Cricetulus griseus: one gene and its partner. The protein of the gene in region 2 interacts with the protein of the main gene of each other region in a pairwise test. Links are inferred from orthologs where the notes say so. Each region holds a gene or a part of one and is shown on either strand. Other genes may lie near its edges.

Region 1 (6,886 bases), on a different chromosome or scaffold from region 2:
GGCTCCACCGGCTCCAAAACTGGCACATATATCATATTCCTTGGCAGGATTATGGTTTTGTTTTATTCTATTAATGTCTAGTAAAGCCTACAGATAATTCAGTTTGCCAAGTGTGTGGGTGGGTAAAAGATGTATATTCACAATCCCGAGACCTGCAAGAATTGTCTTTGGGAAATGGCTAGTTAGACCTGCTTTTTTTTTTTTTTTTTTTTTTTCACGCATCACCCAGTCTTAGAAGCAAATGACATTTATGCATCTAAGTGTCCACAGTGATAGGCATGTGATGAATGTTAAGTCACAACAATTACATTTAATGAGAACTAATGGGCTGTCTTAGAACGTGACCCCGACTCTTAGAGCTGCATTTGCTGCTCTCCTTCCTGGCTGGACCTGCTCACTCCAGTCCATCCACGTGGAGTCACTTTGTTTTGACCCTTTCTCCATGGCTAATTCTGTCGTTGTTTTCCTCATCTGTCAGTGGGGTAAGCACTGCTTCCACCACACCTGTTTTATATTCTTCCCGGAGAAGTTCATTCTTCCCTTCTTCCGTATTTGTTGCATGCATGATTATTCCTTGATTCCTCCGATCTCCCTTTTCTTCTCAAGCCTTCTCTGTCCACTTCCTTTGATAACAGCTCTCTTCCCAAGAGCACCCCTTCCTGCCTTCCCCTATTGTCTTATAGTCATCTGGCCCAAATGATTAGGAGCTAAGGAGAACAAAAATATTGGAATGCAAGCAGAATATAGATCTAAACTCACTGAGCATTCAAGGTTGCCTTCAAGCTTTGAGGGGAAGGATGAAAAGTCTATAATATCATCCACGTCCCTTATCTGCCTCTCTATGCTCCCTGCTTATCTACTGTATAGAATTATATGGGAAGAAACAGGCCAAGAAGCGTAACACATGATAATCTTTTGGTATTTGGTAGTCAGTATTCTCGACGACCTTGTTTGTAGCGAACTCAGGAAGTTAACTCCCTTAAGTTTTAGTGGGTTCTCCGAATGTTCAAAATGTCCATCTCATACCATATCTTCGCCTCCCATTTCTCCCTTTGCAGCTGGAGCTTGACGTTGGAATGAAAACCAACAGCCTCAGAAGATGGCAGAGGCTGTTGTAGTGTGATGAAAAGAGAGGGGGATGGTAATGGGATCAAAGAGTCCCTGAGAAAAATGTCACTGCTGCCATACTCTGGCTGTCCTAGGATACAGAGATGTTTTACATTGAGCACATAGGATGAGAGGCCAAACCCTGCATGCAGAGGGCACAGGCATTGACACTGTCCCCATTCTTTGGCTTAAGCAGTGGGCTTGACTCTATCAAATCAGTAAGTTTAGAAATATGCTGGGTGGTGGTGGCATACACCTTTAATTCCAGCAATTGGGAGGCAGAGGCAGGCAGATCTCTGTGAGTTCAAGGCCAGCTTGGTCTATAGAGTGAGTTCCAGGACAGTCAGGGCTACACCCTGTCTCAGGGGTGGGGTGGATTGGGGGTATATGTATGGAGAAGGCCAACCAACCCAGGGAGGAGTTTCTGCCTTTCCATTTTTTCAGGTTAAGCTTGGAGATGAAGGAGTCTAATCCTTTGGAAGAACAGTAGGATGCCTGTAGTGGAGGCAGACTGTATTTACATGCTATTCACCTCTTTTGTGTCTAAGAAAAGCCATCCAAAGAATCACTGACTGGTAAAAATGGTCTGTGAGCCTGAAGTGGTGGAGAGTGGGGGCATGGTCTTGCCAAAAGCTGACTTTCTCCGAAGGTCTGTCTGTTGTCCAGAGTGGCAGCCACTTCGGTGGGCAAATAGGATGGTCATCTCTGCTCCTGAGGGGATTGCTTCAGACTGAGACCCCTTCAAGGTGGATGGCTGTTCGTGCTTTCCAGAGGTGGGGTGGGAGGCATAATGTTTGGTGGGAGGAGGGCTGTAATTCTGAAATCTCACGGTTTTGACTTGCTGTAAAATAGAAAGCAAAGGACTGTGGGTGAGATGTGTACTCTGCCCTCTACCCCTTGATAAGATTTGTGTCCTTTCTCTACGGTTGTCACCACTCAAAATGCCTCATTTAGGTGGTGTTCATTCAGCAAGCATTTGTGTCTTCTGTGCATTATGTAATATACCCTGTGAGGTGCTGTGGATCAGAGATCAAACAAACCCACACTGTCCAATGAGAAATTAAAGTCAGTGCTGTGATGGGAGAAGAGTAACCTGCTGAGGCAGTGGAGTAGCATCTAATAGGTAGCCAGGCAAACCTTTCTTGAGGCAGAAGGATTTGAGAATAAGGATGAATAATTTGGGAAAAATAGAGTCAGCAGTGGAAAATACAGGTTCACCTTTCACCTCTTCCCTCTGCATTTCCTTAAGGTCTATCTCAAGGCTGGCTCTTTCTCATGAGTTCTCCTGATGACCCCCTCTTTGAGCTCACTATCATCACCTTAGAAATGCTCATCATAGAGCTGGTTCCCTGAGTATCTGCTGTTGCCATGCATCCTTTGAGCATTGACTGACTTCCCCATACACAAGACCACAAGACAAATATACAGAGCAACCAGCATTGCATGCGTATCTTTAAAATATGGAAGATTCAGAGTCAAGTGTGATAGCATAGGCATTTGGAGGCTGAGACAGGGGGATTGGGAGTTTGAGGCCAGTTTGAACTATATAGTGAAAAATCTGTCTCAAAACTAAAATAAAACTTAAATGCAAACATCCAAAATAATCTATGATCTGGAACTCTGGGCCTATATCAATACTGGCACCACCTGGCTGAGCTGAGGAGTAGCTTCCTTTGTATGAGACTGTGTCTCCACTTTGTTAGAAGCCCCATCTCACTTTTCTTCCTCTCATGTCTCCTAGGTGGGTATGTATTTTGCTTGGCAATTGAAGGTGTTTGTTTTAGCCAGTCACTGTCTCAGGGCTTAATAAAATGTTCTTTCTGTGGTACTTCTGGAACTTCTTTGTTCCATGAAATTCTCTCCTCTTTGTCTCCTAGTTTCCCCTACTTTCTGATTTTTATTGATTGCAGCAGGATCTTGGGACTTCAGAGTTGGGGGGCTGTGTCTGATAACTTGGGATATTGGACAGCTGGGGTGTAGGATCCTTTAGATTGTATGAAAGTTGGAAGTTAGAATGAACACGCCAACCTTTCTGTCAGTCACCATAAACTTTTCCAAATGCATTTCCATACAAGCTTAGAGGAAAAACCTGGGCTTTTGTGTCAGATACAGATGTCAGCTGCATGACTTTGGGCAATGTGTTTAACTCCCCAAGCTTCTGCTTCCTCATTCTAAATGATGATGAAAATAATACCTAGTTCAGAGGGTTGTTATAGGGGTTTAATGAGATGGAACACATGGAGTTCTGTGCAGGGTGTCTGTTAGCATATTTAGTAGTTAGTAAAAGCATAACAAATAGGAGGAAACTCCATCCCATCCGTTTTGTAGAGAGTGGGTGATGGTGAGATGGTAGTGAGGGTGGTGGTGAGGGGAAGACGATTGGCGAGTGTGGTGATGCTCAGTAAACTGAAGGATTATGATGAACATCACCTGATTCCTTAATGTCATCTCTCTTGCTTCAAGGACCTTAGAAAAATCCATGTCTTCTAGCACAAAAATCTCCAGACCAGATGTTAACAGGTCTGATTGATGACATAATAAGTCAGCTGTTAGAATTATCATTCCACGTGACTTTGATGTCATTTAAATTCTCCCTTGTCTTAGTTGTTGCTGTCATTTGATAAAAAAAAAAATGTATCAAGCCCTGTGTAAATACTGCACATAGCTTACACAATGTCATCTCCAAGGCCATGAATGGCCATTATTATTATTTACCTAACATTTTTAGGCTTATTTTATGTATACAGGTGTGTTTTGCTTGCATGTCTGTATGTGCACCATGAGTGTCTCTGCAGAGGTCAGAGGAAGGCATCAAATCTGGAACTGGAGTCGTGGGTGGTTGTGAGTCACCAGGGGGTTGCTAGGAACTGAAGCCATGTCCTCACTAAGAGCAGTAAGTCCTCTTAATGTCTGAGCTATCTCTCTAGACCCTATATTACTATTTCTATGGATCAGGCAAATAAGTAAGTAATGAATGAATAAACACAGCCCCAGAAGGGTGAAGTGTTTTGGCCAGAGCCACCTAACCAGAGCAGTGATTCAAACCAAACCATGTTTTCTCCAGGCTGTTTCTGGATCACAGAAGAAGCATATATAAAGGGAATGAGGAGTATGTTTATCAGGGAGAAGGTGTTCTTGGTGTGAATGGGGTGGGGTGTGCTGTGTGTGAAGATTTATTTTTTTGGTTTTTTGAGACAGGGTTTCTCTGTGTAGCTTTGGAGCCTATCTTGGCACTCGCTCTATAGACCAGGCTGGCCTCGAACTCACAGAGATCCACCTGCCTCTGCCTCCCGAGTGCTGAGATTAAAGGTGTGCACCACCAACTCCCGGCTGTGTGTGAAGATTTTATTGGAGGCTGCCAGTGCGGTTGGCAATGTTGACAGTGCACAGTCAACACCAGGAGGCTGAACAGTCAGACTCCCAATGTCACTCCATTCCTACCTTTTCGATGCCATTTTTTGAGTTTTCTGGTTTCACTAGGATGGAGGGTGGGGCAGACGCAGGTGGCTTGGATGGTGGCTCACTCTTGATGGGTATTTCTTTGCCTTCCATGATGAAGGAACTGGATGCTGAATGGATCCTGGTCTTGCTGCCTCTGCTGATGCAGGTCAGGGCAGGCTCCCCAGTGGAAATGGGTTTAGACCCCATCTCCACCATCATGGGTGGAGGGGAAGAGGCCATTCCCTGTGGCTGGTAGAAATGGAACTTCTGAGGCCCGATCATCATGGTGGGACTGTGCCTGAGGGATCCCAACATGAAAGTGGGGATCCCTGACTGGACTGGTCTCTGCAAGGATCCATCTGGGGGATGACAGAACAATATCAGCAATAGGATGGCTGACAGCAGGTGGCATGCAGGCTGGGTATACAATGTGTCTGATATCCCAGAATAGATAGGTAAGGGCTTTCCTAATGAGACTGTGCTCACACTTGCTCTCCTGGGGTCTTTCAAAGGTGACCCATTGTTTTCTTTAGTGCTATTTGCTGTTGCTGGCAGGAGGTAAATGTCTAGCTGAATGCTATGAGAAGTGTCTGAAGGTATGCCGCTTCAATTTATGTGCCTCTCTCCCCCACCTTTTCCCTTCCTCTAGCCCTTTAGGATGGATAGGAAAACAGACACACAAGGTTTCACTGTGAGAAGCAGACACAGAGGCAGACAGGCCAAAGAGGAAGAAGAAAGTGAGAATCAGAGTGAGCAGACAACGGAGCAGGAAAGCTGAAGAGGGAGAGGATGCTGCTGCTGTCTGCCTGCTGAAGAAATTGTTAATAGAAACTAAGTGTGGGGGTGGGGCAGCAGCTGAGAACACCACCTGTACTCACTGTTGGTGTTTACTTCCAGCCCAGCGACAGTTCCCAACCACAACACAGGGTGTGGATTGCATCTTACAAGGCACATAAACTGCCAGGCAGTGCCTGAAAATCACAGATGCTTGCTGGATATCACTGTTCTCGAAGAATAGCACAGTGTGCCCTAGCAATGCAAACGTCTGATGGTGTGGGTTTGGGCCTCACTGAGACAGTCCCTCCTCAGTTAATGAAAACCACGTGCCCCGCTAAGAGGCTGTAAGGAAGATGTCCCATCCCTTAGGCATAAGTTCTATAGGTAATCAAGGGAATGGGTCCTTGCCTCTGGATAAAAGACTGGGGGTTACCCTTGTGAAGCACTGTGGGTCATTCTCAAAGGGTCTCCAAGCATTTGAAGAACCACATATGATGAAGGGCTTTCCCCAGCTCTTAAGGCTCTTTTTTTTTTTTTCTTTTTTTGAGACAGGGTTTCTCTGTGTAACAGCACTGGCTGTCCTGGAACTCACTGTGTAGACCAGACTGACCTTGAACTCACCGAGATCTGCCTGCCTCTGTCTCCCAACTGCTGGGATTAAAGGTGTGTGCCACTACTGCCGGTTTGGACATGTGTTTGTATCAGTCCTAGCTTAGTGTGTCTAGCTTAGAGGGCCTGAGCCAAACCACACTATGTTGTGGTTGTGACCCTTCACCAGTCGGGAAGTTTTTGTGGACAATGAGCCCAGGTGTATTTTCAGATACTGCAAGCATGTTGCCATTAGCTGAGTCTGACTTTTCCATTTAGGTTTTCCACTGACAGCCCCTGACACAGGGGCCTTTGGAGAGACCATCAGCTTGACCTGTCACCTTCGAAAAAGGGAGAAAGGAAAGCTTCTGGAACTAGGGAGGGCAAAACCACACCAGGCAGACATGTCCTTGGCTCCCATGGATGTGGCAGAAATTTAGCTTCTTGCCTCTCTGGTTATCTGGTCAGTTTCCAATTTTCAAGAGTTCTTATACTGTCTTACCACGTGTGCATACAACACAAACAGTCAAAGCTCCAGGTCAACCAAGAGTTACACAGCAACGAAGAAGCAGTGTATTAAAAACAAAAACAAAAACAAAAAACAAAAAACAAAAAACGTGAACTATCATAAGTGGAATGCAAGTCTTTTCGTGGGTAAGCAGTCTAGACTGAGGGATTATTTCAGTCCTAAACAAGCTCATGATATGTATGGACCAAAGACAATCTGTTTAGTTGTAGTAGCAATGAAGTGGCTTATTTACTAATAATTAAAATTACTTTACCAAGAAAATAACTTAAAAAAATGTTCTCAAGAGCTTGTTATGTGCTAGATACGGTATGGTTAGCTCATTAATTATATCTGATAGGGATACTATGCCAACATTATATAACACAGGGAGGGTGATGAGGTGGGTATTATTATTCCCATTTTACAAATGAGGAAAATAAAGACGATGGTGACTTGTCCAAGTCT
Region 2 (8,158 bases):
CACCAAGCCCAGCTAAGGAATCTTTTATGTTAACCTTTGCCCTTGCCATAACAATCATGAGTAACAAGCTATGACCATCAGGAGGCCCAAGTGTTAAGTCCTGACTTGGAAATACACTGACAAATTACAACTACTGCTGGTTCCTTCTCACTTCCGGATTTGTGTTCTCTGGGAAGGAAGTGAACCCAAAGATCTCTGTAGACATGCCTTTTGTGTTTCTGGTTGTGTGTGACTGGCAAGCATCCAGAAGAGCCTCCAACAAATACAAGCTAGAAGCAAAAACATAGAAGTTGGAAATTGAAGAGTTAGGGCTCATTATAAAAGAAATGGGCAATCGTGTTAAAAAGCAGCTTGGCACAGTAGCACAGCAATCCTAGCCCTCGGGAGGATAAGCAGGAGCATTACACATTTGACATCAGGCTGGGCTGTGGCTGCCCTGCACCACCACTAAGTCTGAGTATCGAGAAACAGGAGGTACCTGTGGTTATGCTGGAAAACAATTCATAGAGACCCCGTGGGGTCTGGGTCCCAACACTGGGCTAAGCAATAGAACCATGTTTCAAGTCAAAATATCAGAGAGGAAAGGGAGAATGAAAGAAGGGCCAGGAAAAGGTGCCAAGAGCTTCTGGTTGCAAAGGGCCAGGAGGGTATACAGGGGTGACAACTAGTGTTCAGCAGGCTGACCCACCAGATGAGTAATGGAGCAAGGCTGTGGTATCACTGGCTGTAGATAATTGTGTCTGTCTGTAATTTCTCCCACGAGCCACTTCATTTCTTCCCTAAGAACTGCTAAGCATGTTTTCCCATTGCTTGTGTGTTTATCCCATGTATATATTCCATCTATTTGTGCACACATACAGCTGTGGATAGTCAGGAAGATGATTTCTGCTTAAGCTGTATAATTTTGATGAATAGAATTAACAGTAGGATTATTTTTCATTACTTAGACTGACATAGGATTCTCAGGCATAAAGACAGCCTTTTACACAGACAGCTAATTTTAGATTCCTGAACAAATTCAAAGCAAACTAGTTGCCCCTACATGAAGTCATTTTCCCAGGTGTTTTGCTAACTCAAGGTCAGAGCTCAAAGTAACTTTAGTAGACATAAATGGACTTTCTGCTTGTACTCCCTACCATTCAAGGTTTAGCTAATTAACTATTATTGTTCAAGTATTGAATTCCAGTGTCATTTTCTGTTTGGGAAAGAGCTATGTCCATGGCCACGGGTTACTCACTGGCCTGCCAATGTGACCCCTCTAGGAGAAACTCTGTGACTTATCTTGTGTTATGAGAATGGGTCAGGCCCTGAAAACGTAACATATAACCTATCATTCAGAGTTTGGCTGTGGGAGAGAAGGGTGTAGAAAGAGATATGAGAAGGGTTACAGAGCTAATTAGGAAGCTGTGAAGAGAGATTTTTCAGAGAGAATTTTTCAAGATGAAGTAAGTTATCACCAGAAAGTGTCTGTGTTTTCTTATTTTTCCCCTCAGAAAAAGTCTAACCCTCAGATAGGTAAGAATTTTCCTAAGCCCTCACTACTCTGAGGTTTACTCTTGCGACCCTGGAGCAGATCTGGGAGCTGGCCTTTCAGGCTATGGTAAGGAGAGCTACCAGACAGGTAGGTGTAGGATGCTTTCTGAAGTCAAAGGGACTTTGCTGGTATTTCTGCTGGGATTCGTCAAGGACAGTAGTGTTCTCTTGTGGCACTTTCCAGTGCATGGGAACCACAGAGAGAGTCTCCACCAGAGCACCTTAATCTGAGCAAATACTAATAACTATTTCCCATGTCTGGCTGGACTAAGACAGCAAGGGGGTGGGAGTAGACGGCTGTAGCTCTGCTCTCCCTGGGCACACTCCTCTTTGCTTACTGGCACTGCAAGAAGTGTAGGTGAATCTTGGAAAGAACGGTGTCAACAAAGAAAGGAGTCTCACTTTTTTTTGGTGGTAGAATTTATGATTTTGCTACACTAGTCCACTTACAAGGTAAGGAAATGCCAGAGACAGGGAGAATCTTGAACTCATGTACCAGGAAAGCGACATCTGAACAGGAAAGTCTTTTGGGAATCTCAAAGGGACTAGGCACACAAATAACACACAAGACAACACATAATAGCCCCTCTCCCCCGTTTTACAAGGTTTGTGGTACAGTGATAGCTTAGTTGGTTGTGGGTTCCAAGAATGAGGCACCTATTATTTGTGTGCACAAGGAGGTAGCTCAGTCCAGGTCATCCAACCTTGGGGACTAGAGAAAAGTATCCACTTATTCTTAAGTGTGTAGCAGCTCAGTAAAGAACCAGAAAATGCTGGGTGTTGGTGGCGCACACCATTAATCCCAGCACTTAGGAGGCAGAGGCTGGTGGATCTCTGTGAGTTTGAAGCCAGCCTACTCTACAGAGTCAGTTCCAGGACAGCTATGGGTGTTACACAGAGAAACCCTGTCTCAAACAAAACAAAACAAAAACAAATAAAAAACAACCAAAGCAAAGAACCCAGAAGACTCCTATTCATCCAGATGTCCCCTCCCAAGCTCACATTTACCTAATTGATAATACCAGGGGTTCCAGAGAGGAAGCCCAGCAAAGACCACCTAGCAGTTGTCCTAAGCCAGGAACCTTTCTCAAGGAACATCAGAGTTTACCTGGTCATGCAAGAAAAAAAAAAATCTGGGCAGTGGTGGTACATGTCTTTAGTCCCAGCAGGCAGGGGGATCTCTGAGTTTGAGGCCAGCCTAGACTACAGAGCCTGGACTACAGAGCGAGTTCTAGGACAGGCTCCAAGACACAGAGAAACCCTGTCTCAAAAAACCTAAATAAATAATGTACCTAGTCAAGGATAATGGAGGGAGAGGAAGGAAAGATGCCACGCCAGGTGGTATAGCGGGTTGGCCAGAGCCAGGAGAGAACCCAGTGTATGGAAAGCTGGCATTTACATTGGTTCCCGAGTTCTCTAGCAGGCTCATGGGCTAGTGCCTTTCTGACCCTGTAGAACTGGAATGCTGGCACAGGAGAAGGTGGGGTAAAAGTCTGGGCCCCTTGGAGGACAGGAAGGCACAGCATAATGAATGATGGTCTTTCCCTATGATAGAGGATATATAGCAAAGTTTTTAATTTTGTTCTTAATCAAAGAAAAATACATACCACCATGATTACCCACACAGACTATGGGAACCTCCTGGGCTCACAATCCCATACTCTTGAACAAATTACTGAGTCTGGACTTATTTCTAAAAGAGATAATGCTCAAGTCACAGTGCTGTTTTAAACATGCATGTCACACATTTAGCACACAAGTTAAATAGGATCTGTTAAGAAGTAACAGTCACACACACACACACACACACACACACACACACACACACACACACACTAGGAATGATGCCACCACAATGGAACCTCCACCCAGTCTCCCTGGGTTCCTTGTTGAAGATTAGAGAGTGACCAGAGTTTGGTGGTTTCCAGTACAGTGCCTCCTGCGACTTTGCTGAACCTGAAGGTGATCCCCAGGAAACATCAAACTGTTTTCTGTACAAGGTCAGAAGATGCTTAGATGTGAATGTTTGATGAATGACTGCAGGGGCAAAGGGACAAGCCCCAAACTGAATTCTGAATGATGTGTGGGTACCTGGCAGGGAAGAGGTGGAGTGAGAAACTGGCTGTGGACAGGGATTTCTCAAGGGAAAGGGGATGCCCCGTAGAGACCAACAAGGGTGAAGAGTGGAAATAAAGGCAAAAGTCCTACATGTTCAAAGAAACAAGTGAGGGGGCTGGAGAGATGGCTCAGAGGTTAAGAGCACTGGCTGCTCTTCCAGAGGTCCCGAGTTCAATTCCCAGCAACTACATGGTGGCTCACAACCATCTGTAATGAGATCTGGTGACCTCTTCTGGCCTGTAAGCAAACATGCAGGCAGAACACTGCATACACAATAAATGAATAAATCTTAAAAAAGAAAGAAGGGAAAGGGAAAGACAAGGAAAGGAAAAACAACCAGCAAAACCCAACTCTCACCTGGAGCCTCCCTAGGAAGGGCATGAGGTGTGAATGTGGGCATTGCATTAGGCTCCAGGTTCTCCATTTCATTGACTTGGATATGGATCAAACTGTCACCTCTGCCTTCATTTTTTGTTTTCTATTTCTTATACCCATGACCTCCAGAGTTCCAACTGTTCCATTCTGGGGCTACCATGCATCACTTTCCCTAACAGTAATACTGGTCTCCGTTTTCTCACGGGACTGGGGCTCTAAGTCTGTGGAAGTTAAGAGCAAATGGCACAGGGTGAGCTGTGGCGTGGAACACACTGAGGCTATGGGCTGCTTATGGGCTGTATCCTGGATCATCTGTGCCCCACTCCCAAAAAGTGGTGTGTGTGTGGGGGAGACTATCCTCATCTCCAACCACAGACTCACTGTGCTAGGTAAGCCTTGCTGCTGCTTTTAATTTTCTGAGACAGTCTCATGTAGCCCAGGATAGATTAAATAATCAATCATATTAGCTGGCTGGCCTCAAACTCAACAGTCTCCCTGTGTGTGTCACAACACCTGGCTTGCCCTGTGGGCTTTAATTGTAGCACTAGATTGGAGAATACAGTTTCTAACCTATACTGTGCCATGAACAGATCATGAGACACCAAAATGTAGCCCTAAAAACATAGTGGCTCACACCAATAACCCCAGCACAGCAGGGGCTAGGGCAGGAGACCCTGGGCTAGAGACCCTGTCCAGAAAAAAAAAAAAAAAGGAACCTTAAGGGACCACCTAACTCAAATCCAATTTCTCACAGAGGAACCTGGAGTCCAAAAAGATAAAATAACCTGCTCAATCATACAGATACTTGGTGGTTTCCTCTTCTTTCAGAGGCACAAAGAATAAATCAGTAGTGATTTTCATGATTCACTGTCCCTCCGCAGACAGTCCACAAAGTGCTTCAAGGTTTTAAGAGGCACCCAGAAAAGTAAGGCTGGCATTCATTTTTCTGGAAGCCTGATTATGCAAACCCCTTAGATGCCCCATTATTTGACTACAAGGGCAGGCTTGGAGTTGGTTTTGCCACCATCTGCAGATGCCACCAAGGCTCGCCCCGTGGCTGAAGGACTCTCTCCCATGTTTCCTTGAAGACTGAAGCCAGGAACTGCTGAGAGTCAAGGGAATGCTGTCACACTGCCAGGGCCCAGGGGCAATGGTCAAATTCCTGGGGTTAAGCAAGGCAATTTCGGCTCAGATAAAGCTAGGGTGGGCAGGGCACGGGGACCTGAGGTGGTAGGGCCAGTGAGAGGGAAGCAAACCGAATGACTTCACTGGGCTTCCTAGCCCAAGGAGGCTTCACTTTCCAGAGCCCTTCTGGGCCTCTTATCTCGAGTTCCTTCCGCTTACACCTACCTGCCATTTTCCACCCTAATCTCTTGAGTTTCACAGACGGTTTCCAGCCACCTCGACTTGACTCTCTGGGACCGCCCTCCACCCATCTGCCAATTGTGGTTCCCGGGTTCCTGGCGCCACAGTCTCCCCCCACGCCTGGGTGCCACTGTTTTGTCCCTGCTGTGGCCAGCAGGAGCCTAGTTCAAATAAAATGGATCCAGCCCTGGGGCTCCGCGGCTCCGGCACCACCAGGGTGCTCGGGCCCAAGCAGCGCGTAGTCCCGGCCACCGTTGTTGTCCCAGAACTCGCGGCCGGTCACGCGGTAGCGCAGGGCGAAGAGCAGGGCGCCGCCGACCGGAGGCGCCGGCAGGCGGAAGGAGAAGCGGTCAGCCCGCGGCGGGGCCGGGGCAGGGCCGGCGTAGGCGGCGGGCGACTCCCGCAGGCTGCGCCAGCCGTCCGCGCTCCAGCGCACGCTCACGCGCTTCTCGTAGGCCAGGTCCAGCACGCGCGCGCTCCCGGCCACGCCCAGCGGGCCCGCGTCGGCGCGCTCCAGGCAGATGCGCTGCGCCTGCAGGCGGGCGGCGAAGCCGGGCTCCAGGGCGGGCTCCAGGGCCACGCGCGCCTCCTGAGGAGAGAGGGCGGGGAGGCGGGTCAGAGGAGGGCTTGGAGCGCGGAGGCCGAGGTCCCGGGGACGGGGGCGGGGCGCCTACCTGGAGGCCGCGGGCGCGCGGCGGGCACGGCGCGAAGTGGCGCAGGGCGTCCCTCTGCAGTTGCACCTGCACGTGGCGGGGCACCCGGGGCGGCTCCCCCGGGCGGAAGCGGCGGACCACGACCAGCTCTAGCCCCAGCGCGTCAGCGAAACGCACTCTCTTGCGAGTGTCAGGGCTGCGGCTGCGGGCTGCCCGCGCCCCGCCGCCACCTGCGGGCGCAGAGCGGGCCCTGCGCCCCCGACCCGGAACGTGAGCCCGCGAGCGGGCGCCGGGCCGGGTCCCGCCCTCCCCCGGCTCCTCCTCCGACTCCTCCTCGAGGCTGGGCCGCTGGCTGCGGTAGTAGGCACGTTCGGTCAGCGCTGCTATAAAGCTCAGGTTGCGAGGGATGTCGGTGCGCGGAGGCCGCTCGCGGGACATGGCACCCCTGCGCCCCAGCGGGGCCGGCGCACAGTGCCCGCCCGGCGCGTCCTCACTCGGCCACCCGCTCCGCGTCCGCGCATAGGGCGGAAGGCTGCTTCGGCAGCTGCTAGCCCTGGACTCGCCTTCTTGCTGTCACCTCGCGTTCTTGGCCTGGCGGGTTTCCTTGACCACCTTTCCCTGCCTTTGGCGGTCAACCCCACTGTCTTCTAAGACTGTCGGTCCTGCCGGCTTCCCGCTGTCTGCTCTGAGCGTGCGCTCAACGGCGCTCTCCCTTCGGTTCTGCGGGCCTCGCTGACCCGGCCCCCGCCCACAGCCCTCTGACAGGTGGCTCGGCATCTATCTTCCCTGCTGCACCAGGGGGCGGGACTGACTCCACCCTCGGGGTCCCAAATGAGTAACTCCAGTATGAGAAGGGTTAAAGCGGGGAGGAAAGAGTAATCCTTCATTTTCTTGCATGGAAAGTTCAAAATGCCGAGAGGCTAATTCTCTTCCCCAGAGCTCAGTGTTTTCTTAAACCCAGGCTACAGGTTTGGGATAGAGGTGAAGATGGGCGTAGTGAAAAGAAAGGCCGCGAATCCTAGGTTAAGTCTTCCGAGTGGAAAACGCCAAAGGACGAGCGGTGGACACAAGACTGGCTATTTTCCAGTTTCATTTTTGAAAAACAAGCTAGTGACAATTTTACAGTGGTATGTAAAATGTGTTCTAACTTCTCTACTGATCTTTTTTATTTTCAAAGATTTGCTTCATTTTTTAAATTACGTGTATGGTGTCCGGCTTTATGTATACAGGAGTGCAGGTGCCCACAGGGGCCAGAGGGGACATTAGATACCGTGGAGCTGGAATTACAGGTGCATGTGAGCTGCTAGAAGTGGGCGCTGAGAATCCACTAGGGTCCTCTAGAAGGGTGCTATGTGCTCTTAACTGCTGCCCCATCTCCCCTGCTCTCTACAGAGGTTTACAACACAAAACACTAGGCATGATTACAGTAATTGTTAACATATTACAGAGAGAAAGTTGAGAGATGGGGAGGGAGGGAAAACATCTTGCCCGGTGTCACATAGTTACTAATTGTGGGGCTAGGTTCTCTTAGTCATTTAGTTCTTATACATTAAAACAGATAATGACGATACTAGTATTTTCATTAAATGATAATGTTGACATCTAATATAAAAGTGGAAGTTACGGAGCTGAAAAAATGGCTCAGTGCTAAGAACATGCACTGCTCCACGGGATCTGCTGCCCCCTTCTGGCCTCCAAGGCCACCTGCACTCACGTAAGCATAGACCCTACGTGGACACAAACAACCACATAATAAAATAAAAAAATACGTATTTTTAAATGAAATGGGCTGGGCATGGCGACTCACACCTTTAATCCCAGCAGAAGCAGGCAGATCTCTAAGTTTTGGGCCAACCTGGTCTACAGAATGAGTTCCAGGACAGCCAGGGCTACACTGAGAAACCCTATCTTAAAAACCTAAAATAAAGCCATGTGTGGTGGCACACACCTTTAATTCCAACACTAAGGAGGCAGAGGCAGACAGATCTATGTGAGTTTGAGGCCAGCCTGGTCTACAAAGTGAGTTCCAGGGCAGGCAGGGCTGTTACACAGAGAACCCTTGTCTGGAAGTAGGAAGGAAGGAAGGAAGGAAGGAAAGAAAGAACTAAATAAAT

The links.
Region 1: the proteins of Homez (region 2) and Sh3rf2 interact in a two-hybrid assay, tested with the Homo sapiens proteins (2 studies listed by BioGRID). The two-hybrid records come from large-scale screens. The link is inferred for Cricetulus griseus from reciprocal best matches to the Homo sapiens genes HOMEZ and SH3RF2.

The regions. Positions count from the first base shown.
Region 1 is NC_048595.1:195,751,998-195,758,883, forward strand, and holds the end of Sh3rf2 (E3 ubiquitin-protein ligase SH3RF2), read right to left. Parts: intron 4,908-6,886; coding exon 4,549-4,907; intron 1,949-4,548; coding exon 1,673-1,948; 3' UTR 187-1,672; downstream 1-186. UniProt on the Homo sapiens protein: Has E3 ubiquitin-protein ligase activity. Acts as an anti-apoptotic regulator of the JNK pathway by ubiquitinating and promoting the degradation of SH3RF1, a scaffold protein that is required for pro-apoptotic JNK activation.
Region 2 is NW_023276807.1:210,068,852-210,077,009, forward strand, and holds the start of Homez (homeobox and leucine zipper protein Homez), read right to left. Parts: upstream 5,558-8,158; 5' UTR 5,384-5,557; coding exon 5,377-5,383; exon of another isoform or gene 3,080-5,376; intron 1-3,079. Other genes in the region: protein phosphatase 1 regulatory subunit 3E, read right to left, coding at 5,558-5,980, 6,066-6,482. UniProt on the Homo sapiens protein: May function as a transcriptional regulator.